Struthio camelus: one gene and its partners. The protein of the gene in region 4 interacts with the protein of the main gene of each other region in a pairwise test. Links are inferred from orthologs where the notes say so. Each region holds a gene or a part of one and is shown on either strand. Other genes may lie near its edges.

Region 1 (7,228 bases), on a different chromosome or scaffold from region 4:
TCGTTGCCCTCTTGAGCGTGTGCCTGGCAAGCGCAGCCTTCTCGACGCCCGTGAGTATTGCCGGCGCCGGGAAGCCCGTGGTACGTCTCACCCCGGGGCCAGCCCAGCGAGAAGGCCCCGGGGGTCGCCGGCAGCTTGCGCTGTCCCTGGCGCGCAGGAGCTGGCCGTGGGCCTCCCTGGAGCGCGGCGGGGGGCCCCGGGCGGTCGCGGTGCAGCGAGGCAGGGCCGGTGCGCCCCGGCGCGCTTCCTGGAGCGCAAAACCATCGTCGCACCTAACGCTGCAGTGCGGCTTATTTACCGAGGCGCTGGAGCAGAGGTGAAGCCAGCCGGAAAAAGAGGTGTTAGCCGCGTGCCGTGCCGCTTGAAGTCGGCCGTTAGGTAGGCCTGCGCACGAAATTCCTGCCGACGTGGCTGAAACAGAGGCTAAGCCGAGATAAACAGGCTGGCTGTTTTTATCCTGCGTGATTTTTTGCCCAGCACCTTAAATGCGCGCCTAGAGTGCAAACCGACTCTCAGGGAAAGGCTTTCCTCTTCTCGCAAGGAACAGGCAGGACAGAAACCGTGTCTTTAATGAGAAGTGAGCCGGGGGCAACGCGGAGTTTAGTCCCTGCGTTAAAGCTGGCCCAGCTCGCCCCCTAGCAGGGCAGCGAGGGCTAAGGCTGTAAATGGCTGCGGATTTCTTTTTCGGGTCGGGGCCCGGAGGAGAGCTGGTTAAACGCCCTGCCGCCTGCCTGGCGCTGCACTCCGGCCCTGGACGATTTATAATTTGCAGTTTACAAGCTGGCAAGCGCCTGCCCAGCCGCTCACGGGCGAACGCGGGTTGTGCCGGGGCGGCCGCCCTCCCCGGCTGGCCGCGTGACCGGGACGCCTTACAGCTTGAGCAAGGGCCCAAGAACAGTAAATGGCCTTTTTTGGTTTTTTTTCCCCCCCCCAAGAAGAGAGAACCCGTTCGGGGCGTTTACAGCAGCCGAGACGGCACTGGACGGCATTTGACACCTTCGCTCGCGTTTGTGTCTCCCCGCAGGTGCCGCCGCCGCCGCCGCCACCGTCGGGGAAAGCCGGCGAGAACTGCGTGGGCCAGCACCGGGTAAAGCAGCCCTCCTGGGGGGCGAAACCCCCGCGGCGCGTTGACCCGCAGAGGGTGGGCAGCGCCAGCGCCTACCCAAACAGGCAACTTGACAGCCTCCCCGCGCTCAAGGCTGGGTTTGCTCCCGAGCGGGGCTGGGCTTCCTCTCCGCCGTGCCGCAACGGCGGCTCTAGGTCTCCCTGCAGGAGCCGGCGCTGGCGTGGTCGGGCTCCTAAGCGCGGGCAGCGAGTCTCACCTGCCAGCTCTCGGTCGCCGCGCCAAAACGTTCTTTGTACCCACAGACGAGGCTGTCCGAGTCCTAGCTGCTGGGTGGTCTTCTTTTTAAAGCTGTGTCAGTCTCAAGCGCATCAGTAACGACATTCAGAGCAGTATCTCCTAGTAAGAGGGAAGAAAACGCTCTCTTTTTTTCTCTTGCCAAGCAGCTGTTTCCCTTCTGGCGCTTGAGCGGCTTTCGATCCCATCCGTCGCGTTTAACGAGCTCGCTTATGAGGTCGTTTACCCAAGGCATGAGCTGCCTCACAAAGAAACCATAAATCCTGCAAGAAAGCAAAAGCTGAAAACGACTCAGTAGATGATGCCGAGGTCCAGGAGCCGGCAGGCCCGATAAGCGCGGTCCTGCTGAGGTCCCCGGCGGCCGTGTCGGTCACAAAACCGCTAAACCTGCCCCAGCGCTCCCCGGTCTAACCGGTGTCCGGGCTGAACCGGGAGAGGACGCTGAGCCGGACCCCCGGCGCAAGCTCCTGCCGTTGTTTTTAGGAAAATTTCAACGTCTTTCCCCCCCCCCCCCGGTCTAGATACTGCTGAAAGGCTGCAACGTCAAGCATGGCTTTTATATCTTTAAATACGTGTACTCCTTCTCCACGCAACGGAATCAGACGCAGGTGAAGGTGAGAGGGCGCGCTGCGAGCCGGCGCTGGGGGGCCGGCCGGGGGCCGTCGACCGGCCCCGCCGCCCGGCCAGCTCGGGGCCGGGGCCGGGGCGCCCCGATTACGAGTCGGGGCGTTTCGACGTCGCAGGAGAACGCGCAGTCAGCCCCGGATTCGCCCTCTCGCCGCTGCGCCAGGCGGAAGGAAGAGGCCGAGGCTCCCAGCAGCACCTCCCGCCCCCCGCTGCGCCAGGAGGACGCCCTGAGGAAGCTGACGGAGGCCGACGGCAGCTCCTTGCCGGAGCGCCCCGGAGCCGTCCCCCAACCCCGAAACGGCAGCGCGGCGGAGGGCGGGTGGCTTCCCGGCGCCGCGGGCAATGCCGGCAGCAGGGAGGCCCGCCTGCCCGGCCCGGGGGCTGGCGGGGACGGCGACGCCGCTAGCCCGGCTCCGGGCGCCGAGGGCAGCGGCGACGCCAATATCCTGGACGGGGTGGAAAGCGGCGTTTTGGTCCCGCCCCACCTGGGGAGCACGGTCACGGGGCGGTGGGAGCCCGTGGGCGTCGGGGAGGGTGCCGACGGCAGCAAGGTGGAGGCGGACAACCTCGGGGAGCCGGGGGCGGCCGGCGAGAAGAACGGCTCCAGCGCTGGAAAGGCGGCCGGCGGCGACCGCGAGGTCGAGCCGACCCGGCAGGCGGTGACGGGATACTGGGTGGCGGAGGACGCCGCCACGGCCGTGGATTTGGAGGCGGAGGGCAGCGGCGAGGCCGGCGGGCCGGGCACCGCTCGAGGCAGCGTGGGAGGCGCCGCTTTCACGTCCGTCACGGAAAGGGCCGAGGACGTGGAAGTGGACGGGCCCAGCGTGGACGAATACGTGTACATCCCGGACACCGGCGCCGCCACCGTTACCCGAGGGGCGACCCAGGCGGGGAGGACGGGTCTCACCTGGCTGCCTACCGCGGCGGACGACGAGGTCAACATCTTCATCAGGAAGGCCAACATCCACCTCGGGGAGGGAGGGCCGGCCCCGGTGCGCCCCGGCGGCGACGACGACGGCCACGACAACGACACCGCCGTGGCCGTCACGGCGGGGGCCGGCGACCACCTGCCCACGCCGGTCGCCACCAGGGCGCAGGACGACGGCGGCCTGGGCGCCCCCGCGAGCGGCCGAGACGCGGCCTGGGCGGCGCCCGGCACCGCCGGCCGCGCTGACAGCAGGGGGGACGCGGCGGCCGGCCGAGGGGGGCCGGCGGCCGGCGCGGCGCGGCGCAGGGGCGACGACGACGGCGGCAGCACGCCGGCGGCCCGGCGGGGCGAGGCCGACTGCGCGACGGCCGGCGGGCAGGCGGGAGGCCGGGCCGGGCTGGGAGGGAGCCGCCGAGCGGGGCCGCCAGCCGCCGGGGCGGGGGGCCAGCGGGAGGAGGGCGCCGAGCTCCCCGACGCCGCCGGGGGGAAGGATGAGGGCGGCGACGGCGGCGAGACGCCGGCGGCCGGCCCAGCCCGGCTGAGGGAGGCCGGCGCCGAGCCGTCCCGTCCCGCCGTGCTCGGCGGCGGGGCGGCGGGGCGGCGGGGCGGCCAGAGGAGGCTGGTAGCCGGCGCCGGCCTGGCCCAGGCGTACAAGGCCTACGGCCGCAGCCGGTGGGCGGACAAGGTCCGCCTGCAGGAGCGCTCCCTCTACGCCTTCGGCCAGGCCGGCCCGGCCGCTTACCGCCGCCGCCACCGTCCCCAGGGGCCGCGGGGCCCTTGGGGCGGCTGGTCCTGGGGGGCGGGCGGCAGCCTGGACGACAGCAGCCAGTCGTCGGAGGTGGCGTGGGGCAGCCGCAGCGACAGCCGCCAGGAAGGCGACGGCCCCTAGGGCCGGCGGCGGCGCCCGCCGGCTCTCCCCGCTTCGACGCCTCCCTGGGGAGCCAGGAAACGAAAGGCGAGGGGGGGGCGGGGGGGGGAAAGGCCTGTGGCGGCGCGAGGCCTCGGGCGCCCCCCCCCAACGCCGCCCCCCCCCAGGGGCAGGTCGCCCCCCCACCGCGGTCCGTCCTCTGCGGCCCCAGCCGTCCCTCCAGCCAGACCTATTAAAGTTTGGGCTGCACTTGAGTCGTCCGGCCTTCTTCCTACCCTCGCCGTGGGGTTTTTTCTGGCCGATTTCCGCTCCGCTCGGGGCACGCGCCGGGGGGCACCAAACTGGAGGGAAGGGGTTAAAACAGCCCGGGGCGGAGGGGACATGTGTGGTAGCTCCCCCTTTTCGGGAGGTACGCCCCCGGGGGTCTTCGGGAAGGGGCAGATTGAGGTAGGAGCGGCAGAGCGGGTGGCAGGTTTCAAGTCCCTGCCCCGGGGCTGCAGACTCACCCGGGGGACAAAAGCAAGCCATAATTTCCCGGAAGGGAAATAATTCCCGCGTCCTGGCTGAGGAGCTTCCCCCTCTTTCTAAGGGCAGGGCCGTTTCGGCTGCGGGCTCCCCGGGGCCGTAAGCGGCCGGCGCGGGGCAGCTGCGGAAACACCTGCACCAAGGGGCCTTCGTTTGCTTTGCTTCCCTCCTCCAGCCGCCTCTGTTTGCGACCGCTCCCTGGTGCCGGCCCGCGTCGGCAGGGGAATGGTTTTGTTGTGTGGTTTATTGGGGGTCCCCCCGCATCCTTGCTGCACGCGAGACCTGTTTCCTAAGCTCGCCCTGCGGACGGGGTAGGGGTGGATCCGGCACCGGCCATCAGGAAGGACCGGTGGCCCGTCCAGGGCGCCAGCTGCGCGGCAAAGCTTTTGCTCGAGGTATGTGGCACGGAGCACCTTTCCCCCCCCCACACCCCCCTTCCCTTCCTCTTCTTCCTGTAGCGGAGAGAGAGAGAGCCTGTGGGCTCCTCCCGGAGGAGGGAGGATTTCCCCCCCCATCCCAGATTGGCTGGTCCTGGGCTTTGCCTGCCAAACCTGCTTGGCATCTTGCCCTCGTGTGTGTACGTGTGTGTGTATTTTTTTTTCCTTGTTTTTTTTTCCCCCTCCCTCCTTCCCTCCCCGTAAGAAACCTCTGACTTTTCTCGTTGGCCGCAAGGCGACGCCGCGGCCCTGAAGCCTTGCCCGGCAGCGGGGCTGGGAGCGCCCGGCCACGGGGGAAGGAAGCGACCGATGCGCGTGCGATTTGGGTTTTCCTCGGCGGTTTCTGCGGGCGAGCGCGCCGCCCGACACCGCGGGCGCTCTTGCTAACTAAGCTCGAGCGGCGCTGTGGGTTTCTAGAAGCCCTGTCGGTTTTCTCGGGCAGGTTTCTTGGAGATCGAAGTGCTTTTATTCTTAGTTCCCCCTTCCCTTCTTCCTCCCGTCTGGCTGCTCCTGTTTTGTAAAGTCCAGTTTAGGCCTTAATAGGAGGGGGCAGGTTGGGTGTGTGGTTTTTTTTTTTTAATTGATATTTAGAGAATGACTTTTTGGCAGAAGTGGCGTAGCAGCAGGATACGCGTTTTCCTCCCGGGCGCTACGGGCGCCTATAGGAGCTGGGCAGGCTCCGCGGAGAGGCGAGGGCGGCGCAGGGGGCCCCTGTCGCGCGTGCTCCCCGCGACCTGCTGGGGGGGCGACGAGAGGCGCTGGCTGGCGCTGCCCTCGTGTCCCGCTCTCCTGCAGCGGCGCGGTCCGCCGTGCCGCGGGAGCGGCAGCAACGCAGCGTCTGTCCCTATGCACGGAAGCCCGCATGTTTACTCTTAAACTCCTACGGTGATTTAAGGGACCGCGGGAGGAAGCTGGAGATATATATATATATATATATATATATATATATATATATATATATATTTTTTTTTTTTTTTTTTAAGCTAAGTTGGCCTAGAAAGAGGTATAGGAAAGAGTATTCAGCCCAGCTCCTAGCAACTTTTTACTTGCGCTGCCTAGGCTCGCGGAAAGTAAATTTCCGTTTTTGTTTAATTACTGAGCTTGCTTCAAGAGCAGGGGAAAGGAACCCGCTTGCTACGGCAGTCCCCTGTGTTTTGCATGCAGGGACACGTTGCAGGGAATTACCCGTCTGGGCAAAATCACCCCTGGCCAGGAGGTGCCTCCCCGCTGCCTGCCTCGCCTGCAGCCGGGCAGCTGCTCCGCGCTCGCCTGAGCGTCGCCTCTACCGGCAGTTCCCGTGGCTCCGTTTTACATGTGTTTAAAATGCTTTACCGCTCCAGGAGACATTGCAAATAAGCAGCGAGACGCGAAAACGCTCCCATTTGATGCAGCGAAGTCGTGAACGTTTCGTCCGGGTCTAGTTCTTCGGAGCTGGGAAATGTTTTCTGCAGGGAAAGGCTGGACTCGTTCCTTCGGCTTGGAAGGAGCGCTCCGCAGGGCTGCGCGAGCTGCATGCGGCACCGTGCCTGCGTAAGGGTTGTGCGTCCGTGTACGCGGAGCTGAACGGTTTTGTGCAAGTTTTGCTATTACTCGATCAGAACAGAGTGTTCATGTCGCACTGACGATCACAAAGCACATGCACGTCGTGGCAGATGTTTAATCTTCTGAAAATGGCATTTATAGACTTGGGGGGGGGGGAACAAGTCGCTTTTAGCGAGCCAGCTGTCATTATAGGTTATGGCAGCCCTTCCCAGACCACTGGCTCAAACAGGAAGCGAGAGAGACGTCTGCCCTGTCTTCAGCTTGACAAACCAAACTCGTCACAGTATTTTGAAATGCACAAACCGTAACTGAAAATAACCCCGTTCCTGCGCTCCAGTCTACATTTGCAATTACGCTTCGTAACAGGAAGAAAACTATGGTAATTACATTTCACAGAAGAAACCTACTTCTTGTGTGCTTTCTTAGATGTTCTGTAGGGAGATTACTATGTTGAAATAAAAAACCCAAACAAATAACCCCGTACCTGTTTTCCTTGGAGAGCCTAATTTCCCCCTTGTCGCTCATTTGAGTAGGTCCTACACCGATGAAGACGTTTCCTGGGGAGTAACGATTGAATTACCTGCACGAAGAGTTGCTCCTTCTGGGAACTGGCCCCACAAGAAGTTTCCTATAGGAGGGACGTTGCGCACGGGTACCGAAGGGCAGGTAGAGCCAATACCTCGGCTGCTGATCCCACCGCGCGCTCCCCGCGCCCCGCCGAGGTCAGCACCTTCTGCAGAGCGGCTGGGTTTCGCTGCGCCGGCTACCTCGGAGAGCTGTGGCGTTGCCTCGTGCCTACGCGCCAGTGTGCGATGCAGCGGTCAGCCAGGAGGGACCCGCTGTGCTATTTGCCCCCAGTGCTTCTGCTTTAAATTCACTGATTGGGGACAAATTACTCCTCTGCGCTCCTACAGTGAAAACTTTGAATGGGGTAACACGAT
Region 2 (7,612 bases), on a different chromosome or scaffold from region 4:
ATCCACATTTTCTGAATATCTATTATCTACACGCAGCAAAAAACTGTAACATATGATATGCAGCGAAATTCAAATGAAGGAAAAATATGTTATAATTTTTGGAATTACAGAAAATACACTCCGCATTTAAAATATTTAAATACTACAGATGGAAATCAAAGAATCATAACATGGTATCATTCTGACAAACTACCTAAGGGGGTAGTTACTGTGTGGGTTGTTTTTTTATTTCTTTTGTTTCTACAAAAGGCATTTCTAGAAGCTTTTGACTTATAACTGTGAATTTTAACTTTTTCTTTAAACGGTACATTATCTAACTGAAAAGTATTTCAGTGAGAAAAGAAGTCCTTCTCTCTTTGCTTAACACAATACACAGTGTCAAGAAAAGAGAATGAGTTTTTCCAACTCTAACTAGATTCTCATTATCCTCCTTGAGTTTATGTTACAGAAACTTTTTAAATTAATTTATTATTTAATTAATTACATTTATATACAAGTTCTGTAACCAGTTTTTTACTCTTTCAGATCACTTAAGGTCACAAATAGATCAACAGAAAGCACTTTTCATAATGCAACAGTTATCTCTTATGGACCGAAGAGATACAGCACCAAATCAATCGCTGAATTCTGAATAAATACTTACTTGAACCAGGTAGCAGCGGAGTGGGCAGAAACACTCCTGGTTCAAAGAAATCAAAATACATCCTGGTCCAAGAAAAAACACAGCACAAGAATTCTGCCAACGAGGCTACAACAAGCACACTACAAAATCTTTTGGAAGAAGCAAAGAGAATTTGACATACGTATTTTAATACTAATTCAAAGGCACCGTCATACAGCACAGCTCCACAATGCAACATAAATGGTCCGTTTTCCCAGAACAAAGTAGCAATCCTAGTTGCTCACTCTGCCTGGTAAGCCCAAGAAACAACCTACCAGAAAAAAACCCAGTAGCATTCCCCTCTATCCTTCCCTCCAGTTACAGCACAGCCAGCCACCTGGACTGAACAAAACTGAAGAAACCTCCAGCAGAGAATATGGCAGGAGAACTTTGGACAGGAACATCTTAAACCAGAAATAAATAATATCTTACTATAATACTTCATATATCAGTAAGCTAATTATTAGCAGGACAATTTTTTCTCCACCAGAATGTCATGCTGGTGAATTGACAAATATGATTAGATTCATTTTAGCATTCAAAACTATCAGACATAAACATATATGTTCCCTTTTTTTCTTCTCTCCTCCCCAGCTTACCTACTTTTTTTTTTACACAACGCAGTTACTACCACAACAGCAAAGGTCAGCATTAGCCCCTTCCACTACTTGAACAAAACAACAACAAAAAAAAAAACTTGGTAATACCATTTTAAGAGCCTTCAGCTGTTCTAGCAGCCTACATGGACAACTCAAATCAACAGGGCTGGAGTCTCCTGAGAACACTTACCAGTAGCTTACTAATCAAGCTGTCTGGTGAATACATCAGTGCAATAGCAGATAAAGAGAACTGTCCACATACACTTCAGAGTTTCATAACGAGAACACTGCAAACAGCAGTATCGTAGCTGGTTCTGTCCAAACAAACTGTTGAATCGTTGCAAGATTTTTCAAAGAGATAATGGACAGGTTCATTTTTAGCAAAACACTCAATCACTTCCATTGTCTCTAGCATATTGTATGCATATCTAAATTTATCAACGTAAGTTTTGAGCACGATAAAGTGGTGGCTTTTTATAATGAATTCCTGTAATTTTCATGAAAGTGCTCCAGAACCCTCACTCACTACCTTCACTGAGAGTGCAGCATGAGTTCAACCTGCCCTAGATAACAGAGGATTCACCCAGGAACTTATTCTTGAAACACAAGTATTAACAAAACTAGATGTTACTGGTTCTCTTTTCTTGATTGAAGTCAATAGGACATTAATATACCAGAGCTTCCTCTGTCAAAAGCCAAGACGGTTTCCTGTCTTTTGATAGCAACAATGGCAACAGCTGCTTCAGCCGGATAACAGTCCAATCAGCCCCACAGCAGAAGCAGCGTGCCTTCCCGTGTGGCTGTCCCCACCGGCATACCTTAATGCTCTGACTACATTTTTAAAGAGAATACTAGTTATGAATAATTAAGCCAGATTTTCAATGCTTTCCTGATAAAGGGGGGAGCCTTTTATTCATCACTGAATTATACTGAAAACGTAGGTGAACAGTATTGGTAATTTCATCCCCAAGATCCAGGATTTCAGATAGTGATGATTCCTTCATGGGATGAATATCACATAATGTCTTTTGCTGAGCAGTGTGCGCTTGCAATTGGATATGAGCCACGCACCACAGGGCTTCACATATACCTCACCAGCACCCTGTTTATGCAGAATCCTGGCTAGGAAAGTATAAACTGGAGAATTTGCAAGATATAAGCAGTTTTCGAAAACAATCACTTCAAATTTACCAAGTAGTTAACTGAAGTAGAATTGACTAAAACATAGAATTACATATTTGATTATATACTCAAGCCAGAGAATCAAGTCTTAAATCATAACAGTATGACATGGCAAGCCATTAGGCAAAGATTCTAATCTTAAAAATACATCTAGGCTGTTCAGTATGCTAAAAATCAAATTTTAACTCCTCGACCACAAGCTGCCCTGTTTCATCACAGGGTGACAGCCGTACAAAACTTCAACACATTAAAAAAAGTATTAAAGCAAAAGTGTTATGTTACAAAAGAAAAACTCAATCTTTCCGCATTATTATTCTTGCTTTTTAATTTCTCCTCGGTCATAGTAAAAGTTAATGTCAATCTTAGCAAATCTTGGCTTTTCTCACCAAATTCCAAGTTCCATCACAGTTATCTCACTATAATAGGACGATCCTGCTGTTAGGTCACGTGGATATTAACTTTGTAAGATCACATCTTCCACAAATCCTGCTGATCATCACACGGAAGTTAAGACTGCTGTTAAACAGACTTATTCTGCGTCAGGATTAGGACACCTGTGGCAGATGCTCCCCCACTGAAAAGCTACCACACTCATTTGTGGAGTCAAAAAAATAAAACAAAACACCGTATTACACCTCAAGGGCCATACTTGCGATTTATTTCAAGAAACTCCAAAAAAGCAAGACAAAGGAAAGTTGTGTTCACCCACATTTACACATTACAGACACTGGGAACCTGAACATTAAGTTGGTACTGCCTTTAAATATATAAAATAGATTAAAAGACAGTGTTTAGACATACTACCACAATTTCTATCTAGATGCAGTTAACTCCTTCCTCCACATCAAAAAGCCTTCAGTAGAAATATATACTCTTAGAAAAATCTATTACTATTGCATGCAAAAAAAACAGAGGTTCATATGGATTTAAAATATTATTAAAGCCAATGGTTACAATTTACACTTAACTTCGGTTATATTTATAGTGAGTTTTAACCCTGAATCAATTCCAGCTCTCCTCCCCTGGCTTTCTTTTTCCTCATCTCTTCTGGCACTGAATCTGGCCACAGGTTATTGAAGAGGCAGACAGAAGAGGATAACTTATGCCGCAGGACTTAATTAGTAAGCACAAGCCGGTCTGAAATAGGAGCAAGGGTACAAGACGGATGACAAGGGGTGGGAAAAGTGAAATCGATGCCTACCACAGTCTGTTGGTTGGAACGAAGTCCTACCAAACCCCGTTTATAGTATCTAAACCAAAAAATAAGCTTTTTTTATGAAGATATTTTTGAAAAGTTGCTATTCCTAAAACGTGGATTAAGCGCGGCACAGAGCACGTGGAAGGATTTGGCGTTATTACACCTCGGCCTTTGGGGCCTCTCGGGCCGCACGCGAGGCAGCCGAACAGGGCTCCGAAGGGGGACAAAGCCTCCACAGCTCTGGAGGAAGGTGGAAGACCTGAAGCGTTTTCAGCCCTTTCACCGCCTCGGGCGCTATTTCCGACGGCAGCGGTACCGCCCGCTGCCACCCCGAGGTCAGCGGGGCGAGGCGGAAGGCCCCTTCGGGCAAGGAGGAGGGGCACGCAGGCGGCAGCAGCCGTACCCAGGCAGGGCCCAGCTGCCACCCAGCTCCGCTCTCCGCCTGCCCCGACCGCAAACCTGAGGGAAACGCAAGCACGCAGCGTTAGTTGAACGGCAGAGAGCAGCGGAGGCCGCTTCCCGGGCTGGGCCCGGCTCGGCCCGCGGGGCGGCGGTGGCACCGGCCCCGGGCAGCGCCGCGGCCATGTCGGCGCCGCGGGCGGGCGAGGGCGCGAAGCGCGGGCCGATCCCCCTCAGGCGGCGGCTACCACCGCGCACGAGACGCGGGGGGAGACAAGCGGCCCCGCCCTCCCGCAGCACTCACAGCGCACACCGCGCGCGCGGGACGTACCACCGCAGCGCAGGGGGGGACGCAGCGAAGTTGGGCCTGCCGGCCGGCACGTACCACCCGCCGCAACGCGCGGGGTGGAGCAGCCGACACTTTCCGGCTTCTCCAAGCAGGCGGCGAGGAGAGCGGCAAGCGCGCATCCCCCCCTCCTCCTCCTCCTCCCCCTCCTCCGGCGGATGTGGCGCCGGCCGCCCCGCCCCCTCGCCCACGTGACCCTTTCCCAGCGTCCCCTCCGCCGTCCCCCCGCGCGAGCTCCGTGGCTCGGCGGCTCGCGCGCCCCCCCGCCCGGCCCGGCCTGGCCCGCCGCCGCCGCGGCCTGCTCCCGCTCCCGCCCGGAGGCTCTTCTGCTCGCCGCCGCCCGCCCGCCTAGGCGAGGCCTCGCCGCGCCGCCGTTCTCTCTTCGGCTCTTCCTCCCCCACCCCGGCGCGGGGCCTCTCTCCATCCGCTCGGTCCTCGCCGCCTGCGGCCGGCGGTCGCTAACGGCTCCGGGCGCCGACGCCGGGAGAGGCAGAGAAGAGGCTCGTCGCGGCCGGGATGTCAGGTGGGGACTCGGCGGCGGCGGCGGCGGCGGCCTCCCCTCAGCCGCTCCCGTTCTCCTTGCCGAAGCCCCCTCCCCTCATGCAGCTGACGCCGGGGGACGCCGTCCGCCCCGTCGCCGCCACCGCGGACCAATCGCCGAAGAGCACCCGGCTGGCGGGCCGCCCGGATTGGCCAGCGGGGAAGCCAGTCAGCCTGCTGGCGCCGCTGCTCCCGCCCCGCGGGGAGCCCGAGCCGCTCATGCCCTTTGGCCCCTCGTCGCGGCAGCCACTCAGAGGGCGGCTTCTTGGCAGGTGCAGCGGGGGTAGCCTGCTCAGCCCCTCGATGCGGCCCGGCGGCGTCGACCGGGGCTCCCTCATGGTGAGTGCGGGCGGCGGCGCTTCCGGGGGGGGGCGGCCGGGGCCGGGCCGGGGGCCCTTGGTTGTGCGAGCGGGGCGCGCTGGCAGCGCCCGGGGCTGGGCACAGCACCTGCGACGCAGCCTGAAACCGCGAAGGAAGCGGGAGTGGGCCGGGGCCGCCCCCCCCCCCCCCCCCGAGAGCCCTGTGCTGCGCTGGTCAGCAGAGGAGAGCTGGGGCGCGTTAAATGGCATTTGGTTGGCAGGTCCCTCGGGAAGGTTTAAAAACGCCTGTATGTATAGCGGTCTTCAGAGGGCGCGAGAAGGATTTGAGGAAGCGTTGTACTTCTGGTTCTTTGGAGAGCATCTGAGACTTAGTAAATCAGTTAGGATTATGTCCCCCATGACGTTCAAGGCGTGTATACGCGTGTGTATATATAGGTAAACTCTTTAAGTTTCAAACCTGTTCAGTTTGTGGCTTTTCAGTAATCGCAGAAGGGTTGAGGTTGGCAGGAACCTCTGCAGATCATCTAGTCCAACCCCCCTGCTCAAGCACGGTCACTGAGAGCACGTTGCACAGGATCGCATCCAGACAGTTTCTGAATGTTTCCAGGGAAGGAGAGTCCATAACTTCTCTGGGCGGTCTGCCCCAACCTCACAGGCTATTAATAGGCATGCCTTTGGGTACCCCCCAAAAATTTCAATGGAAGATTGTTTTTAAAGCATGAAAAAAGGTATTACTTGCTTTTTTTTCCTGCTCAGTATCCTTCTCAAAAAAGTACATTTTGTTTAAAAGTAACTTTCACATTGAGCTAATAGATATGAAAGACACAAGTAAGATGCAGAGCTGAATTATTTGTCTTTCAAAATAAAGTGCCTTTGAGCCTTTATCCTAAGGCACTCTTAAAGCTGATGCTTCTGACTGGAATAGAAGGCTTTTACTACGTTCTGGTAACTAACAAGTCTCCGAATATGAAATAAGATGTCTTCTATGTTTTTGTGTGTTTACAGAACAGACTTTTGACGTATGCTAGCTTTTTTAATCCTCTTACTGTGACTATACCAAGTATAAGGACAACCACAGGATTCAGATTTTTAGGAAAATACAGAGACAGAGTTTGTAGTCAGCGTAGAAGCTACTTCAGCCTTAGACATGAGAGAAGCAAAAGATAGGCTGGTCATCTGATTGACTTCTCTGCTCCAGGGGTACTTGTGTTAATCATAGTTGTATAGAAGAGCATGCAGAAATAGTTGCACACACAAATTTAGTATGTGATTCTATGACAAATTATAACATGAAAGATGGATATTTTCTTTTTTTATTTGGCTATTGTTTTTGAATTTTTAAATATATTTGTTAATTCTGATGATCTCCAGCTCTACAGATCCCAGAAGAGTATTCTTCTACAGTATGCTTAACATCAGAATTGATTTGTAAGCATTTTAATATAATTGTCTTGCTCGCTGTCTTGCAGTGTTAAGCTAAAATTGACTACCTCATTTCCAGTGGCGCGTCAAGTGTGTCTTTATTCTTAATGTTTTGTGTTTTGGGGGGCAGGGAGTTGTTGGCTTTGTGCTAATTTTTTTGTTTGTTGATGTCTTTCAGATGGGCCACCCAGGCATGCCACATTATCCGCCCATGGGAATGCACCCCATGGGTCAAAGACCACCTAATATGCCACCAGTTCCGCATGGTATGATGCCTCAGATGATGCCTCCGATGGGAGGACCACCAATGGGGCAGGTAAGGCAGTTTTACTGGATTTTTTTCTTTCTTTCTTTCTTTCTTCCTGTAATGAGGCCAGATAATTCCTGAGGTAGGTAAGTCTCATATAGTAGCTTGCAAATGATAACGTGAACAATTCAGGTTGTTTTATGCAGCCATGCCTATCCATGCAGAAACTCTTCTCATTTTAGTGGATAATGAAAGTGCTTCCTAGTTTTGGAACTTTAATTTTAAATTGTCATATATGTGAATCCATAGTTTATTTTTAATAAACCTTTTAGACAGTTTCCCATAGGTTTTGAAGAAGTAAGGTTGTCCTATTAAAAAGTACTAGAAACAGAAAGTAGCGATTCTTTTCGGAAGTGGTAATGGTAGAGAACTTTTTCTCTCTTTAGTTCTTGGCTAACTCTTACATCCAAGCATGGAAGACAATTGTAGGGAGACGCAGGGAAGAAACAAGATCTGAATTTTTGCAGAATTGCTTCTTGCATCCTAGGGAGCATTTATAGTTCTGTATAATATACTAGTGGTGCTAGTGTAATGCACAGTTTGAAAAACAAACTTAGCTATTCAGAGCACATTTGAAAGTGAATTGACAGGAGGAGTAGCCAGGCTCATATCCATGCTTTTGCAAATTTGAAGTTTTA
Region 3 (6,878 bases), on a different chromosome or scaffold from region 4:
TTCAAAGTCACAATTTTTATCCATAGCTGGGATTTTTTTTCTTTTTATAACAGATTTCAAATTCTGGATATGTAGGATCTCCATTCTCAGGATTGCCAGCACAAAAGAAGAAAATGGTGAGAGAAGCCAGTTTCAGAATGGCACTCTTTTAAAAGCTGGGGATCTGGAAAGGCCTGCTGTGCTGCATTATATTTGTGGATTCAAACTGCAACATGCAGATATATGCACATGAATAATTTCAAGCACAAGAGCATTAATCCCATTGTAGAAAATAGAATCAGTCAAATGTGTAACGTTGCAATATGTATTCACGGTTTGGTCACTGAAGCATAAGATCAAGTTCTGGGATACTGACTTTTTTGGAAAATATCTTAAGTTTTTAGCACGTGTGCATGTAAAAATAACTCTGCTGGGTTCAGAATTTGTGTTTGCCTTCTTTTGCATACATCTAGAAAAACTGTTTTTTAACATACTGGATTACTTTAATACTAGAGAGTGAGGCATGAATTATTATTTTTGAATTCCATGGATTTTTCCACTCTAATTATAGGACTGACTATTGTCTCTGTGACAATATTCCTGCTATTATGCAGGCCTGAAATGAGAGATGGAGTGAGAAGGAACACAGCTCTGAAGTAGCTGATTTCAGTGTTCAGTGCATTCACTAAATAATTCAGTATCACTAATGGAAATCTGATTTTGGTAGAGTAGGCATGAGGGGCACTCAGTGCTGGAGTTTGGCAGCTCAATAGCCTGGGAACAACAGTGGAGCAAAAGGTGAAAAAAATCTTTACGCTATTCTCGAGTTCTCTTTTTTTGCTTTCCTGGAATCATGTTACATCTTCTTGGAGGCTGCTGTTGCTGAGGGCTAGAGAGGGCGAGAGAAAGAAATTGATATTTACAGTGTATCCGAAACAAAGAAAGCTCAACCCAAGCTGACCTTTTAACTGGTGTGCGAGTGGTTTTTGCTTCTTGAAAAGTATAGCCCCATTCTACTCAGCTGTGGGACCAAGAACAGGGAAACACTTACTGGGAGCAAATTATATAAAGTCTTGCGTTCTGACTTTGTGGTCTGAGATTTTATAGTCAGAATCTTTCAAGGGCACCTTAGGAAAGAAGTACTAAACTCTCGTTAGAAGCTGATGAGATCCCAGTGACTCTCTCCTTCAGGGCACTTATGAAACAACTGCCTCAAAGTACTGAAATACCCCAGGTTCAAAGGGAACTGTTGGTGTTCAACTCAGGAAAACACTCAGTGAGAGGAACTTTGTTGTGGGAGGGTTTCTAGATTTAGGTACAAGATACATCTAATGCTGGGAGCTTCTTTCCCCAAAATTGCCTCAAATACTTACTGATAGAAATATTTGGGACATAATACTTTTCGATTGTTCACAAGACCATTTTTTTGCATGTGGCATCAATCAGAAGTGGTTTTGTAACTTATTATTTGCCTAACCCTCACTCTTCCTTTTAAATGAAATTCTGCCCTATATCTCCTTTTCAATGGGATACTGTTCTGGGTAGCAAAGATGATACATGAAAGCAGAAATTTGACTTCTACAGCTGGCAGTCCATTCTTCATCTTTGTTTTATTGAACAGTATGGAACCAGCAAGGATTTTAAGGATAAGTTTCACCAGCAATCTGAGAGCAAATTTTCTTTTCTTGGATATTTGTGTGTCCAGACCAGAAAAGTAATTGTCAAAGGCTATTTTCCAGTATGGATATTTTCTGTATGTCACAAGAGACTTAAATGAGGCTACCGTTCAAGGTGCCATTAATATGGAAATAATATTAACATAAAAACACACTTTTACTTTTTGTCAGTCCAAGACTGAGATATTTTATTTTTTCATCAGAGTTCCTTCAGACCATAATTTGTCCTCTGAGCAGCTGTGTTAACCTCGAGTGCAGTTCATTTTAGACTTTTTGAATCAAAACCTAAGCCCCCATTACAGAAAACTAGTTTTAGTGCATGTAAACTCAGTCACAGGAAATTCATTTCTGAGCTATGGAAAGGTATCTAGAAGAGGTGTGAGTGGATTAGGTTCAAAACTGTCTATTGACATTGCTTTCAACATTTAATGGAAAAATGGGGCTTCTGACACACGCATCATTGTGAAAAGTGGTTGCTTTCTGCAGAAAGTTTCCATTGTTTGTTGAAAAACTGAAAATGCTAAGTGTTTTAGGTAGGACTCAATTTTCTGTGAGGGAAGGAAGAAATCTCCAGACCCACTTCAAGGCATCTGTTTTGGTCTTAATCAAGAGCCTTTCAGCCTTTCTCCTCTTGCCTACTTTCACTTTGTTACTCGGACATCATTGCCCATCTGAAGTGCACTATTGCAGTGGCACAGAGACCGTTGTCTCTTGTGTCAACCGTTATCAGCTGTTTTATGATGGAAAGTCTTCCTCTCACAGTGCTTAGCACAGTGATGCCAGGAGTTCACTGAGGAGCCCCAAGGAAGGTGCAGAGTAGTTATCAAGGATCCATTTTTATTCTGATCAGCTTTGCATCGCTCAGTTGCAAAGTACTATTTGAGTGCTCATTTCCACGCATCCAGCTGCTAAAAACACTGTTCTCTCCTCCTGAAGCCACTGCTTTGCCTGTCGGGTCAAAGTTGTTTAAAATTACATCACTGTCATTAAATCGGCCAGTGGTGTAAATCCTTAACAGCCGTGCCCGGACTATACATGTAACTGTGTGATGTAAAGAAGATGCCAAGGTGTGGATGGAAGGAAGGGAGTAGCTTACGGAGAAGGAGGCCAGGTGGGTGCAATTGCCTACGCTGGGCCTAGCCATACAGAGCTTTCCATTGTCACAGATGGTAGGTGTTAGATGATGCAATGCGAACAGTGCCAGACAAATTACTTTTTTAACTCATTCCTCTGGAAACAGGAGAAGAATCCGAACTGGATTTCTCAGACCTGGAGCAGGAGCTGCTAGCTTAACGATCTCAGCAAAGACCCTAACCGTCAATGGGCTGAGTCTTTCCGATCGAGACCAGAGACTTGTTCTGGCAATGGGCAATTGCACAGAAATTGCCTGGGCTTTGGAACAAGTCCACTTAGTTTCAAATTAAGCTGTAGACTGGGGAACGCTCTTATTCAGTGGATGTAATGAACCTAAAAGCTGGAAAGGCCTGCTCCCAAATGAAAGCCTTGACACAACTCCAGCAGCCAATACACCCAGAAGTGCCGAAATGCCACCACAAAACTTGTTCTCGTGCTACTTGCAGCCCAAACAGAAATTAAAAGCTGCTTTATTTATTCCCCTGCCCCTAACAGCGTTTCCAGTCCAACACTGCCACAGTCTCAGCAGCGAGCTGGAAGCCAGCGAGGTTAAAGTTAACGCTCCCTTTCCCCTAAACAGTCACCGAAGGGGCCAAAGACTCGCACGGGGTGAAAGCGGTGCCTCGGCGAGCCCCGCGGCGGCCGCCCCGCAGCCCCCTCAACGGCCGGCGGGCAGCCGTTGGGCGCCCCCGCGGCGGGCCGAGCCCAGCCCCCGCTTCCCCGCGGGCGGGAGTTCGGGACGTTACGCCGGTTCGGGAAGTCCGTTAGGACGCCGCAGCGGGGGGGGCCGCGCCACTAACCTAACCTCCCCCCCCCCCCAGCCCCCCAATGCCGGGCTCCGCCGAGGCACGGGGGAGCCCCCTCCCTCTCCCCCCCCCCCACCGCGGGCGGGGGCGAGGCTGCCCCGCGAGTGACCCGCGCCCGCCGCGCGCCCCAATCAGATCGCGGGAGGGGCCGCGCGGGAGCGCGCGCGCGCGCGCGCGCCCGCCGCCGGCTCCGCTCCCTCCGCCCCGGCCGGGGCCGCCCGCTCCCGCACTCGGCGCCGGGGCTCTGCGGAGGCAGCGCGGGCAGCAGGTTCCCTCGGCATATATATATATATATATATATATATGTATATGTATATAAAATAACCATAATAATCCTGCGAGGAAAACAAATCCCGAGCAGGAGAGCGAGAGGGCGCGCCGGCAGAGCGGCAGCAGCAGGCTAGAGGAGAGGGATCGCAGCGCCGGCAAGTGCCCGCCGCTCCCGGCTGACGGGCGAGAGCCTCCCGCCGCTCCAAGTAAGTCACGGGCGCGGCCCCGGCCCCGGTGGCGGGGGAGGCGGCCGGGCACCTGCCGCGGGGCCGCGGAGCGGGCGCTGCCGCCGCCGGTCGATCGCGCGGATATTTAAGAAAGTGAAGTGGGGGGACGGGGCCCGGCGAGGGAGGGAAGGTTTGGGGGGGGGGGGGGCGAAGCCAGCAAATGCCGGTTTATCTGTTTTTAAAACTGCTGCCGTTAGTTTACGCCTGCCGTTCCCTCCGCGGGGATGGGATGGGAGCAAACCGGAGTTAACGCTGGTGGAAACACGGCTTTCCCCTGCTGGGTGTACAGGTTGTTCTGCAAACGAGCCACGGTCTCCCACGCTGCTTCCCGTACCTCCTTACCCCTCCCTCGTCTTCTCTTGCAAGTAGAGTTAACACTGGTGAAAATGCAGTTTTCTCCTACTTAAGAGTACTGATTGTTCTGCAAATGTGCCACAGTCTCCAGCACGGATTTCTCTAACTCCTTACCCTCCCTTGTCCTCTCTTCTGAAAAGCAGAGCTCTTTATAAGAAAAAGGTAGTCTTGTTTCTTTGGGGGCCTCATCTGCTGCTCTTGCTTGTTCCAGCTGGATGTCGTGCACCTCTCCCTTCAACCCCGCAAGTGGCGTGCCGCGGCGGTGGATGGCTACAGTGCTTTAGTTTAGTGGTATGCTCAGAAGCTGGATTCGGGGATGTAACTCTGAGGTTAGCTGGTTCTTAGGAGCATTGTAGGTTGGTTTGCGATGTGCATTACCTCTTCTATGAGGTAGCCCTGCAACTATGCATATCGGTCGGTGTTTTAACTAGATCCTGTTTGCTTTGAATAACTTATGTTACAGTAGAAGAACACTTTTTACCTGTAATTTGTCAAGCCTCAAACTTTCTGTCCTGTTCCTGTTTCCCCTTCAGACCTCGATTGTTCCAAGCTTTTTGCAAAGTTCAACTTTCGGAGCAAGGAATGGATTGCATATATAGTAATAACTGCTTGTATTGAGGAGGAGGAGGGAGGGTAGGAGGAGAAAGAGAAGGGAAGGGTATGGGAAAGTTTTTTTTTATAAAGAAATGCTTCTCATACGTTTTCTGGACAGTGGTTTGAGCTGATCTGCAGAGCAAACTTTAGTTTGTTCTGTGCGACTCTCTTCCCTCCCTGCAAAAAGAGCATGAAAATTTTATACACACACACACACACACACACATATATATATATATATATATATATATATAAGACAATCTGAAATTTTCATCAAGAGAAATGGTCCGAAGGGAAAAAGGAACCTGCCTAGTGGTGAAAGAAGTTTTTAGTTTTTGTAGTGGATGGAATTGGATGGAGAAGGTATTTTGTTAGAGTGGTCAACCGAAAAAAAAGAAATAAGAAAACCACTGCATAAATTACTGATTCCTCCTAAAAAGAGCAAGAAAGTAGAGGTTTAAGTGTACTCTTGACTCTGATCGAAGCTAAACTCTTTGGTGACTTACCACTTAGGGAGCTTTCTGTGAAATTGAAGGATGGATGCTTATCGACTGCAGAGCAAGCTCTTAGATGGAAAGAGAGGGAAATTTGAAGCCAGCAACAGATCTGTCTCTTACAAATGAGTAAGTTTTTGTTGATAGTGAACAAGCGATCTAAGAAAAACAGACTTTTGCCATTATCCAGATGTCTATCACCGGTTATTTGAGATGCAATTTGTGACTGATAAATGCTTGCCAGCAGGAAGTTGGTTTTACTACAGCATTACCAAGCATAGCGCTAGCCCAGTACCATATACTAGTATTCTACTGTTGGTAATATGAAACAAACTGTCCCAGAGAAGGTTCAGTTATGCCATTATGCCAGTGTTGACACTGAGGACACTCTTGAGGCTTATCTTATTCCTGTCACAGCTCTACTAATGGAGGCTTTGTGTAGATTCAGCTTTCTCTTGCTAAACTGAATATTAATACTTAGCTGATTCTACCAGCAACGGCTCTTGCAAGGTACTTCACAGACACGTCTTATGTTTCTTTTGGTCATTCTGGAAACAATTCTTCCTGAGTCCTTGGATAACAATTAAAAATAGTCTTTTACTGGAGCTCTGAAAATGTACTCATTTAAAGCATGCTTCGTTTTATTTCAGTGCATTTTTGCAGCAGGGAAGATATGATTTATAAACTGTTAAAGCATTTACACTAAGTTATTTGGGATGGAATTGGTTCTGTCGATGAAACTTGTTGCTCTGTTCAAGCCCCCTCGTTGCGTACGCTCCCAACAGTGGAGTTTTCTGTGGGAACTATCTTTGAGTAACAATGTAAGCTTTGCTTCAATATTTACAACCTCTTGCTGATCAGTGTATCAAAAGCATTTTCATTTAGAGGATTCATTTCAGGACTTTAATTGAGGAAACCTCTTTGTTTCAAGCCTCTTTATAATAAACCATTCAAAATGCTTTCTTTGAACGAACTAGGTCACTGTAACACGCACACACACAGAGATTCTCATCTGCTTAGGGTAGCCTGCATTCGGTCGACCCATATCCCTGGTGAGCTTGTCCCTGATTTATCCTTCTTGGACTGGCTTGTTCACAGGGAGCTTATGCTGCAAATTCACTGCTGGAGGTCATTCTCCATTCTTGGCATCTCTGGCAGTCTTAAGCTTAAATTGCAGCCTCATTTTCTATCCAATCAATACCACTCTTATGTTGCTGAGTTTCCATGGTGCCCCCAATCTTCTGTCTACATATTGATGTCTGACAGCAGGGATAGCATTCTGTGTCACTATATATACTTACTAAACCTGTCAAAACTATTTAGGATCTGTCTCACTAATTTATA
Region 4 (7,298 bases):
AGCCACCCCCCAGCCTTTATTGCAGGGTGCAGGACGGGGCCCACGGGGCCCGGCGCCGTGCCTCAGTTTCCCCAGCCGGCGCACCGGCTCCGACGTCCCGCCGTGGGCGCAGCCGGGCCACGACTCACCCTTGAAGACAAAGTTATAATCCTCGGCGGCGGCGGCGGCACCCATCTCCCCGCCGGCCCGGCCGGAGCAGCCCGCGCCGCGAGGTTTCCTCCTTGCCTTTGCGAAGCGTCGAGCCGAGGGGAAGACGGGAGCTGGGGTTGGGGGGGGGGGGACACAAAGTTTCCTGCCCGGCTGCCGGGATCCGGACGCGGAGGAAACCCCGGCCGGGCGAGTCGGCGGTGCAAGGCGGCCGGTTGACTCAAGGGGTGGGAACGCGGTGCAGGTCGGGCAGGTAATGTCACCCTTGGGCCGGGCACAGGCGGAGGAGGAGCCCGGCGCTCGCTGTCTCGGGAAGAAGGAAGCGGGCGCTGCCGGAGCGGCGAGCCGGGCTGCCGGCGCCATCCGGGCCCCCGACCGCCTTTCCTCGTCTCTGCTGCCATCGTGCGAGAGCCGGGGAAACCAACGGGGGGGGGGGGAGCGAAGCCGAGCCCGCGGCCCCCCGCTTTCGGGGATGCCCCGATGTGCCCCCCCCCCACCGCGGGGCTCCTGCATCCTGCGGCACCCCCCCCCTCCCTTTCGCTGCAAGGGGACGGCACGGCGCCCCGCGCTCGGGGGACCCCCACCCACATCTCCACCCGCCGACAGACGCCCCTCGCTCTTCCCTTTATTTATGTATATATTTAAAAAAAATACACACCATAGCACACGAGCATCAGCCACGCTTTTATTCCCCTTTTCCTCACTTCCCTCCCGCTCCCCTTATTTTGTTTTTTAAAGGGCGGCGCACGAGGCAGGGCGAGCGGCGGAAGCGAAGGGCCCGGCGTCGGCCCCCCGCGCCCCTCCGCTCCCCACTCAGGACGCGGCCACTTGCGTGAGCGGTTCCTCCAGGTACTGGACGAGAGCCTGCGCCTGCGAGCGGAGAGCGGCGTGAGCCCCCTTTCGCCCCGTCCCCCGCTCCCGTCTCAGTCTCCTCCAAAGCGGCAGCGTTTCGAGCGCCCCGGCTGGCTGCGAGAGCCTCCCCTCGCCTTCTCCATCCCTTTTATTTTCAGCCCTCGGGGATTTACTCACTAGCTCTTTATTTTTTGCGCCCCCCCCCCCCTTGCAGGGACGCAGCCCGGCAGCAACGCCAGCCCCGTTTCCCCCCCCCGCCGCCCCCAGCGTTACCTTGGCTTTCAGCATCCCAAACCCGACGGTCTCTTTTGCGTACATGCACAGCAAAAGGTTCGCCACGCGCGTGATGGCGACCCGACCCTCCTGGCCAGGGAGGAAAGAAATACAGAAAATTAAAAAAAAAAAACAAAAAACCGCACACACAAAAACCAAAACAACCCCCCCCCATAACACAAAACCAAAGAAAGGGCCAAAACCCCCCCAAAAAGGCCAACCCCCCCCCAAAAACCCCAAAGCCCCCCCAAAAAAACAAAAAAACCCAAAAAGGCCAACCCCCCCAAAAAAACCCCAAGCCCCCCCAAAAAAAAACAAAAAGGCCAACCCCCCAAAAAAACCCCAAAGCCCCCCCAAAAAACCAAAAAAACCCAAAAAGGCCAACCCCCCCCAAAAACCCCAAAGCCCCCCCAAAAAAACAAAAAAAAACCCAAAAAGGCCAACCCCCCAAAAAAACCCCAAAGCCCCCCCAAAAACCAAAAAAACCCAAAAAGGCCAACCCCCCCAAAAAACCCCAAAGCCCCCCAAAAAACCAAAAAAAACCCCAAAAAGGCCAACCCCCCCAAAAAACCCCAAAGCCCCCCCAAAAACCAAAAAAAAACCCAAAAAGGCCAACCCCCCCAAAAACCCCCAAGCCCCCCCAAAAAAACAAAAAAAAACCAAAAAGGCCAACCCCCCAAAAAAAACCCCAAGCCCCCCCAAAAACCAAAAAAAACCCCAAAAAGGCCATCCCCCCCAAAAAACCCGAAAGCCCCCCCAAAAAAACAAAAAAAACCCCAAAAAGGCCAACCCCCCCAAAAAACCCCAAAGCCCCCCAAAAACCAAAAAAAAAACCCAAAAAAGGCCAAACCCCCCAAAACAAACAAACAAACAAAACCCAAAACAAAACCCCAAAAAACCAAAAAAATTCCCCAAAACAAAAAATCCAACCCCCCCCCAAAACACAGAAAAACAAAAAAAAACACAGAAAAACAAAAAAAACAACACAGAAAAACAAAAAAAAACAACACAGAAAAACAAAAAAAAACAACACAGAAAAACAAAAAAAAACAACACAGAAAAACAAAAAAAGCACGAGACAGGGACCCCGGGGACCCCGGCAGCCCCAGGGGCGCGCGGGGCCGGGCGGGAGGCGGCGGCGGGCGCGCCGGCCCCGCGCACCATGCAGTCCATGAGGATGAAGCGCAGGTTGTCCTCGTTGAACGCCTGGTGCCCGTTCTTGTCGTAGGCCACCCAGATGTTGCTGGCGATGGCCGCGGTGACCCTGGCGTCCGTGTCCCCGTAGCCGGAGTAAGCGAGCAAGGAGCCCTCGTTGTTCAGCAGCCTGCAGGGGAGCCGCAGCCGGAGCCGGAGCCGGAGCCGGGGCCCCCCCGACGGGGCGCACGCGTCCCACCCCGCTGCCCCCTCCCCGGCCACCGCCGGCTGCAAACTCCTCTTTTCCGCGGCATTTTGAAGCCGGGCCGGGCGTTTTGCTGTTTGCAGCCGGGCGTTTTGCGGGTGCAAAAAGACTCCCCCCCCCCTCCTCCGCCCACCCCCCCCCCCCGAGCACGCCGCCGCGCACTCACAGGGTGCTCTGGACCCCGCCGGTGTTGGCCTGGCTCAGCACCTGGGTGAGGGCTTTGGGGCGCAGCATGGGGACGGCGGCGAGGGGGGGCGGCGGCATCGCCCGAGCTCGGCTCCTCCGTCACCCGGGGGGGGGGGGGGCCGTGCCGCTGCTCCGAGCACGCTGGGATTTGTAGTCCCTTCCTCCCGGGGAGGGGGGGGGACACACACACCGGGCACGCATCCTGCCCCGGGGGTGCTGGCCGGTCCCCCGGGCTGCTGCTGCTGCCGGCCAGACGCCGGGGTAGAGGGCAGAGATAAAAAAAAAAAAAAGCCTCGTTAGAGCAGCGTTAATTGCATGCAATTTATTTATTTTTGTTTGCAGCAAGAGCTGGTGGGGGGGGGCAGAGAGCAGCCCCCCCGGAAGGGGGTCAGGCTGCTCGTCCTCAGCCAGCACCCGGGGAAGGGCACTAGCCACAGAGGCCGAGCAATTAAATAGCAATAATTAAAAATAAGCCTAACGAGAGCCAGTTTTGCTCTGCACCCCTAAGCTCAGAGGGGCAAATTCCCCCCCCCCCCCCCCAAATGCTCACACAGTTACAGGCACCCACAGCCCACCCTGGGCACCCCGGCTTTATAGGGGCTCAGCCGTGCCCTAACGACCCTGGGGGCTAATTGGGCCCCAGCCCGGGTCTGCCAGGGCAGAGCTGGCAGTGGCACAGTGGTGGTGGTGGTGGGGGGGGGGTCTATAGGTTGGATGTAATTAGGCTGCACCCTGCTAATGAGGGGGTACCCAGGCCAAGCCAGCTAACGAAGGGGTGCAGGTGGGATCCACCTAACGAGGGGAAAGGCGAGGCGGACCTGGCGAGCAGGGGGACACGCGAGCTGCCCCCCCCCTCCTGAGGGTTTAGCTGGGTTTAGCTAATGAAGGGGATGCGGGATGAACCCTGCTAATGAGGGGGATGCAGGCCGGACCCTAACGAAAGGCGTGCGGCCCAGACCCCACTAACGAGGGGGTTGCAAGCTGCACCCTGCTAATGAGAGGGATACAGGCCAGATCCAGCTCATGAGGGGGATGCATGCAGCCCGGACCCTGCTAATGGGGGGGGGGGGCTGCAGCCCGGACCCTGCTAACGAAGTGGGGGCTGCAGCCCGGACCCTGCTAATGGGGGGGGGGGCTGTAGCCTGGACCCTGCTAATGAGGGGGGACTACCAGCCACGCATGGATGCATATGAGGTGGCCAGCACTGGGGGCAACACCTGGGGCAGCTGCCCCCATTTTCTCCCAATTTACCCCCCCCCCAATTACCCCTTTAACCACCCCCTCTAAGGCAGGGGTCCTCCAGCGCTGCAGCTCCCCTCCCGCCCGCCAGGGGGCGACGGCGCGGCGAGGCGAAGTTGGGGGGGGGCCGGGGCGCCGCTCTCGCGCGGCGGCGGCGGCGCGCGCCGCCTCTCTCTGGCCGCGGCCCGGGCTGGCGGCGAAGATGGCGGAGCCGAGCGGCGGCGGCAGCGGGCCGGGCCCCGGCGGCGAGGGCGCGGCCGAGCTGGGCGGCCCCGGCGGGGCCCTCATCCGCGTCACGGTGAAGACCCCCAAGGACAAGGAGGAGATCGTCATCGCGGACGGCGCCTCCGTGCGCGAGGTGGGGGCGGGGGGGGGAAGGGGTTTTTTTTTGGTGGTGTTGGCGGGGGGGGGGGGGAAGGAAGCTGCTTTTAGGGGATGCGAATGGGTCGGGAAGCGTTGGGCCGGCTGGTTTTGGGGGCGGGTGTGAGGAGCTGGGGGTGTTGGGGGAGGCGTGAGGGGTGGGGGGGCTGGTTTGGGGGTGGGGGGCGTGAGGGAGTGTGGGCGTGAGGGGTTTAGGGGCCTTGGGAGGGGCGGGAGGGAGCTGGGGGGCCCTCGAGGTGGTTTTGGGGTGGGGGTGAGGGAGCTGAGGGGCTTGAGAGAGCTGGGGGGGCCCTAGGGGGCCTGGTTTTGGGGCAGGTGCGAGGAGCTGGGGGTTATTAGGGGGCCTCTGGGGAAGGACCTGGAGGGGGGTGTGGGGAAGCTGGGGGGCTTTGGGGAGGATGGGAGGGAGCTGGGAGGTGTTGGGGAGGAGCTTTGGGGTGGGGGTGAGGGAGCTGGGGGGTTATTGAGGGGGAGGAACCTGGTTTGGGGGCTTGGGAGGGGGGAGCTGGGGGGCCTGAGAGGCTTAGGGGGGGCATGAGGGAGCTGCAGGGTGCGGAGGGGCTTGGGGAGGGTGTGAAAAAGCTGGAGAGTCTGAGGGGACTTGGGTTGTGGTGAGAGGTGGGGGGTATGGGGGAATCTAGGGGGATGTAGCTTTAGGGTGGGGGAAGTTGAGGGAGTTTGGTAGGGAACACCTGGCTTTTGGGGGATATGAGAGGATGGGGGGGTCTTGCAGGAAGCTGGCTGAGGGTGTTGTGAGGGGGGCTGGTGGGGGTGACTCTTGAGGGAGGAGCTGGCCCTGAGCAGGGAGGTGAAGAGGCTGGTTTTGGGGAGGGCCCGTGGGAGGGTTTGTGGGGGCTGACAGCGGGCAGGGAGATTTTGGGCGCTTGGGAGGGTGGTGTGAGGAGTTGGGGGAATGGCTTTGTGGGGGGTGGCCGTGGGGAAGGTGCTTCTGTGGGGCTGGCGATGGGGAAGGGGGTGTGAAGGGTGTGGGGAGATGCTCGGGGTGTGGGCTAGGCTGCGGGGGAGGGATGGCAAGGCTGCTCAGGGGTAGGGTTGTTCTTTAACCTGTTGGTATGAGAAAGGCTGCCGCGCTAGGGAGAAGGAGCTTTGGGGACAGAGCGGGAGGCGTGTGTGTGTGTGGGGCTGGCTGTGGAGGAGGTGGCTGGGCGGCTCTGTCCCTGCGGGGCTGGCTCCCGGGCAGGGTTGGAGGGTTGGGCGCGCGGGGCGGATCTGGGCACGTAGGAGGCAGATCCCCTGGGCAGAGGAAGAGGGCTGGGCACGCCTCTGGGGTGCGGGTTGAACGAAGCCGAGGAAAGGGAACATGGGACGAGCGTGGGTTTGAGGGTTCGCTCCGCCAAGAGGGATTCCCAGGCTGGAGTGAGGGGGGTGGGATTGGGAGGGAGTGGCTCAAGCCCTGCTGAAGTGACTGTTCCCACTGAGACGAGGTGTCATCATCGGTGCTCTTGGCCTCATGGCTTGCAGTGTGCTTTTACTTTAGGGCTCAGGACATGAGTTTGCAGTGTGATGGAGCTGGCTGAGATCTCTGGGGAGCAGGGCCATGGGGTTAGGCTGTGGTCTCTGCGACACCCCTGCCCCTTCCCAGTCAGCTCCTGAAAGCCTGTTGGTATAAACAGGATGTTAAGTGACTGCTTTGTTCAGAAGAAAACGCTGATGAGCTTTGTAAGCAGGTTAACGTGAGGTTTGGGACTGTTCTCCCAGGCATTGGTTTCAAGGGTTATAATGTGAAGGCTGCAAGCTCATCTAGGACAGGTGTTTGTCATCCTGGCTTTTTCTGTGTGAATTTCCTGTAGTTTCTGGCTTCCAAATACAAAGCTCTTTCCTCTTAAGTCAACTTGGGAATGCCTTAGCTGAGCCAGCAGTGACAATCTTATTGGCAGAAATCGCCAATGTATCTCATTACATAGTAAAGAGGAGATGTCAGTGTTATCTGGTATGGCATACTCATAGGGAATATAGTTGCAGAAATAGGAATTAGAAAAGACCTAGTTTATTTCCATTGGCTGATAAAGGATTGTTCCCTTTTCCATAGAGCTCTGTCCTGTATTAAATCACAGAGAGTTGGGCTTTCCTTAGGAAAAAAATCAAATGAGCAGAGACAAAAAAAATTGTCATTCAGAGGATAAATGGTGTCTTTGGATTAGACGTAAGAGGCACACTTGATCTTGCTTTGGAAGCCTTCAGCTCATCTTGAGGTAATTGCTCTATACTTTCTGAAATTTACTCCACGTTCCTAAGCAGTGTAGAGCTCTTCTTTGCTTTTTGGTTTTTTTTTTTTTCTTTTTTCCTTAAGACCTCAGACATGCCCAGCAATTGGTGAATGGATTGGTATCTGCATGGGATCCTTCTGGGTGAAGTTCTGAGGGAGTGTCAGTTCTTCGTGCCATTCGCATAGGGAATGTGCTGTCCGAAATAGTATCTTTAAGCTTCTGGCTTCAGTCCTTTTCCTGAGAAGTGCTTTGTCTGTTTTCCAGTTCAAAGAAGAGATTTCCAGACGATTTAAAGCCAAACAGGATCAGCTGGTTCTGATCTTTGCTGGGAAGATCCTGAAGGATGGAGACACTTTGAATCAACATGGGATCAAAGATGGGCTGACTGTGCATTTGGTCATTAAGACTCCACAGAAGTAAGAAATGATCCCATGGGTGGGGGGCTGAGGGTAAACTGCTGATGTGAATAAATGATGGTGGAAGGGTTCTGCTTTATCTGCAGCTGAAGGGGAGCACCTTGTGTCAGACTTGAGTGCTGGCTTTGGGGCGTTTGTGAGGTGGTGGTGATCTGGCAGGAGAACTCCTTTAGGTTC

What was found.
Region 1: the proteins of UBQLN4 (region 4) and SPP1 interact in a two-hybrid assay, tested with the Homo sapiens proteins (2 studies listed by BioGRID and IntAct). The link is inferred for Struthio camelus from reciprocal best matches to the Homo sapiens genes UBQLN4 and SPP1.
Region 2: the proteins of UBQLN4 (region 4) and PRPF40A interact in a two-hybrid assay, tested with the Homo sapiens proteins (2 studies listed by BioGRID and IntAct). The link is inferred for Struthio camelus from reciprocal best matches to the Homo sapiens genes UBQLN4 and PRPF40A.
Region 3: the proteins of UBQLN4 (region 4) and PTN interact in a two-hybrid assay, tested with the Homo sapiens proteins (2 studies listed by BioGRID and IntAct). The link is inferred for Struthio camelus from reciprocal best matches to the Homo sapiens genes UBQLN4 and PTN.

Annotation. Positions count from the first base shown.
Region 1 is NC_090945.1:11,416,305-11,423,532, forward strand, and holds the start of SPP1 (osteopontin), read left to right. Parts: upstream 1-4,222; 5' UTR 4,223-4,703; intron 4,704-7,228. Other genes in the region: MEPE (matrix extracellular phosphoglycoprotein), read left to right, coding at 1-50, 1,025-1,087, 1,882-1,974, 2,104-3,804. UniProt on the Homo sapiens protein: Major non-collagenous bone protein that binds tightly to hydroxyapatite. Appears to form an integral part of the mineralized matrix. Probably important to cell-matrix interaction.
Region 2 is NC_090947.1:44,934,488-44,942,099, reverse strand, and holds the start of PRPF40A (pre-mRNA-processing factor 40 homolog A), read left to right. Parts: upstream 1-4,601; 5' UTR 4,602-4,901; coding exon 4,902-5,264; intron 5,265-6,845; coding exon 6,846-6,983; intron 6,984-7,612.
Region 3 is NC_090942.1:66,014,199-66,021,076, forward strand, and holds the start of PTN (pleiotrophin), read left to right. Parts: upstream 1-3,866; 5' UTR 3,867-4,071; intron 4,072-6,878.
Region 4 is NC_090971.1:3,782,604-3,789,901, reverse strand, and holds the start of UBQLN4 (ubiquilin-4), read left to right. Parts: upstream 1-4,282; 5' UTR 4,283-4,298; coding exon 4,299-4,454; intron 4,455-6,969; coding exon 6,970-7,121; intron 7,122-7,298. Other genes in the region: RAB25 (ras-related protein Rab-25), read right to left, coding at 129-510; ragulator complex protein LAMTOR2, read right to left, coding at 961-1,017, 1,273-1,362, 2,434-2,596, 2,838-2,935. UniProt on the Homo sapiens protein: Regulator of protein degradation that mediates the proteasomal targeting of misfolded, mislocalized or accumulated proteins.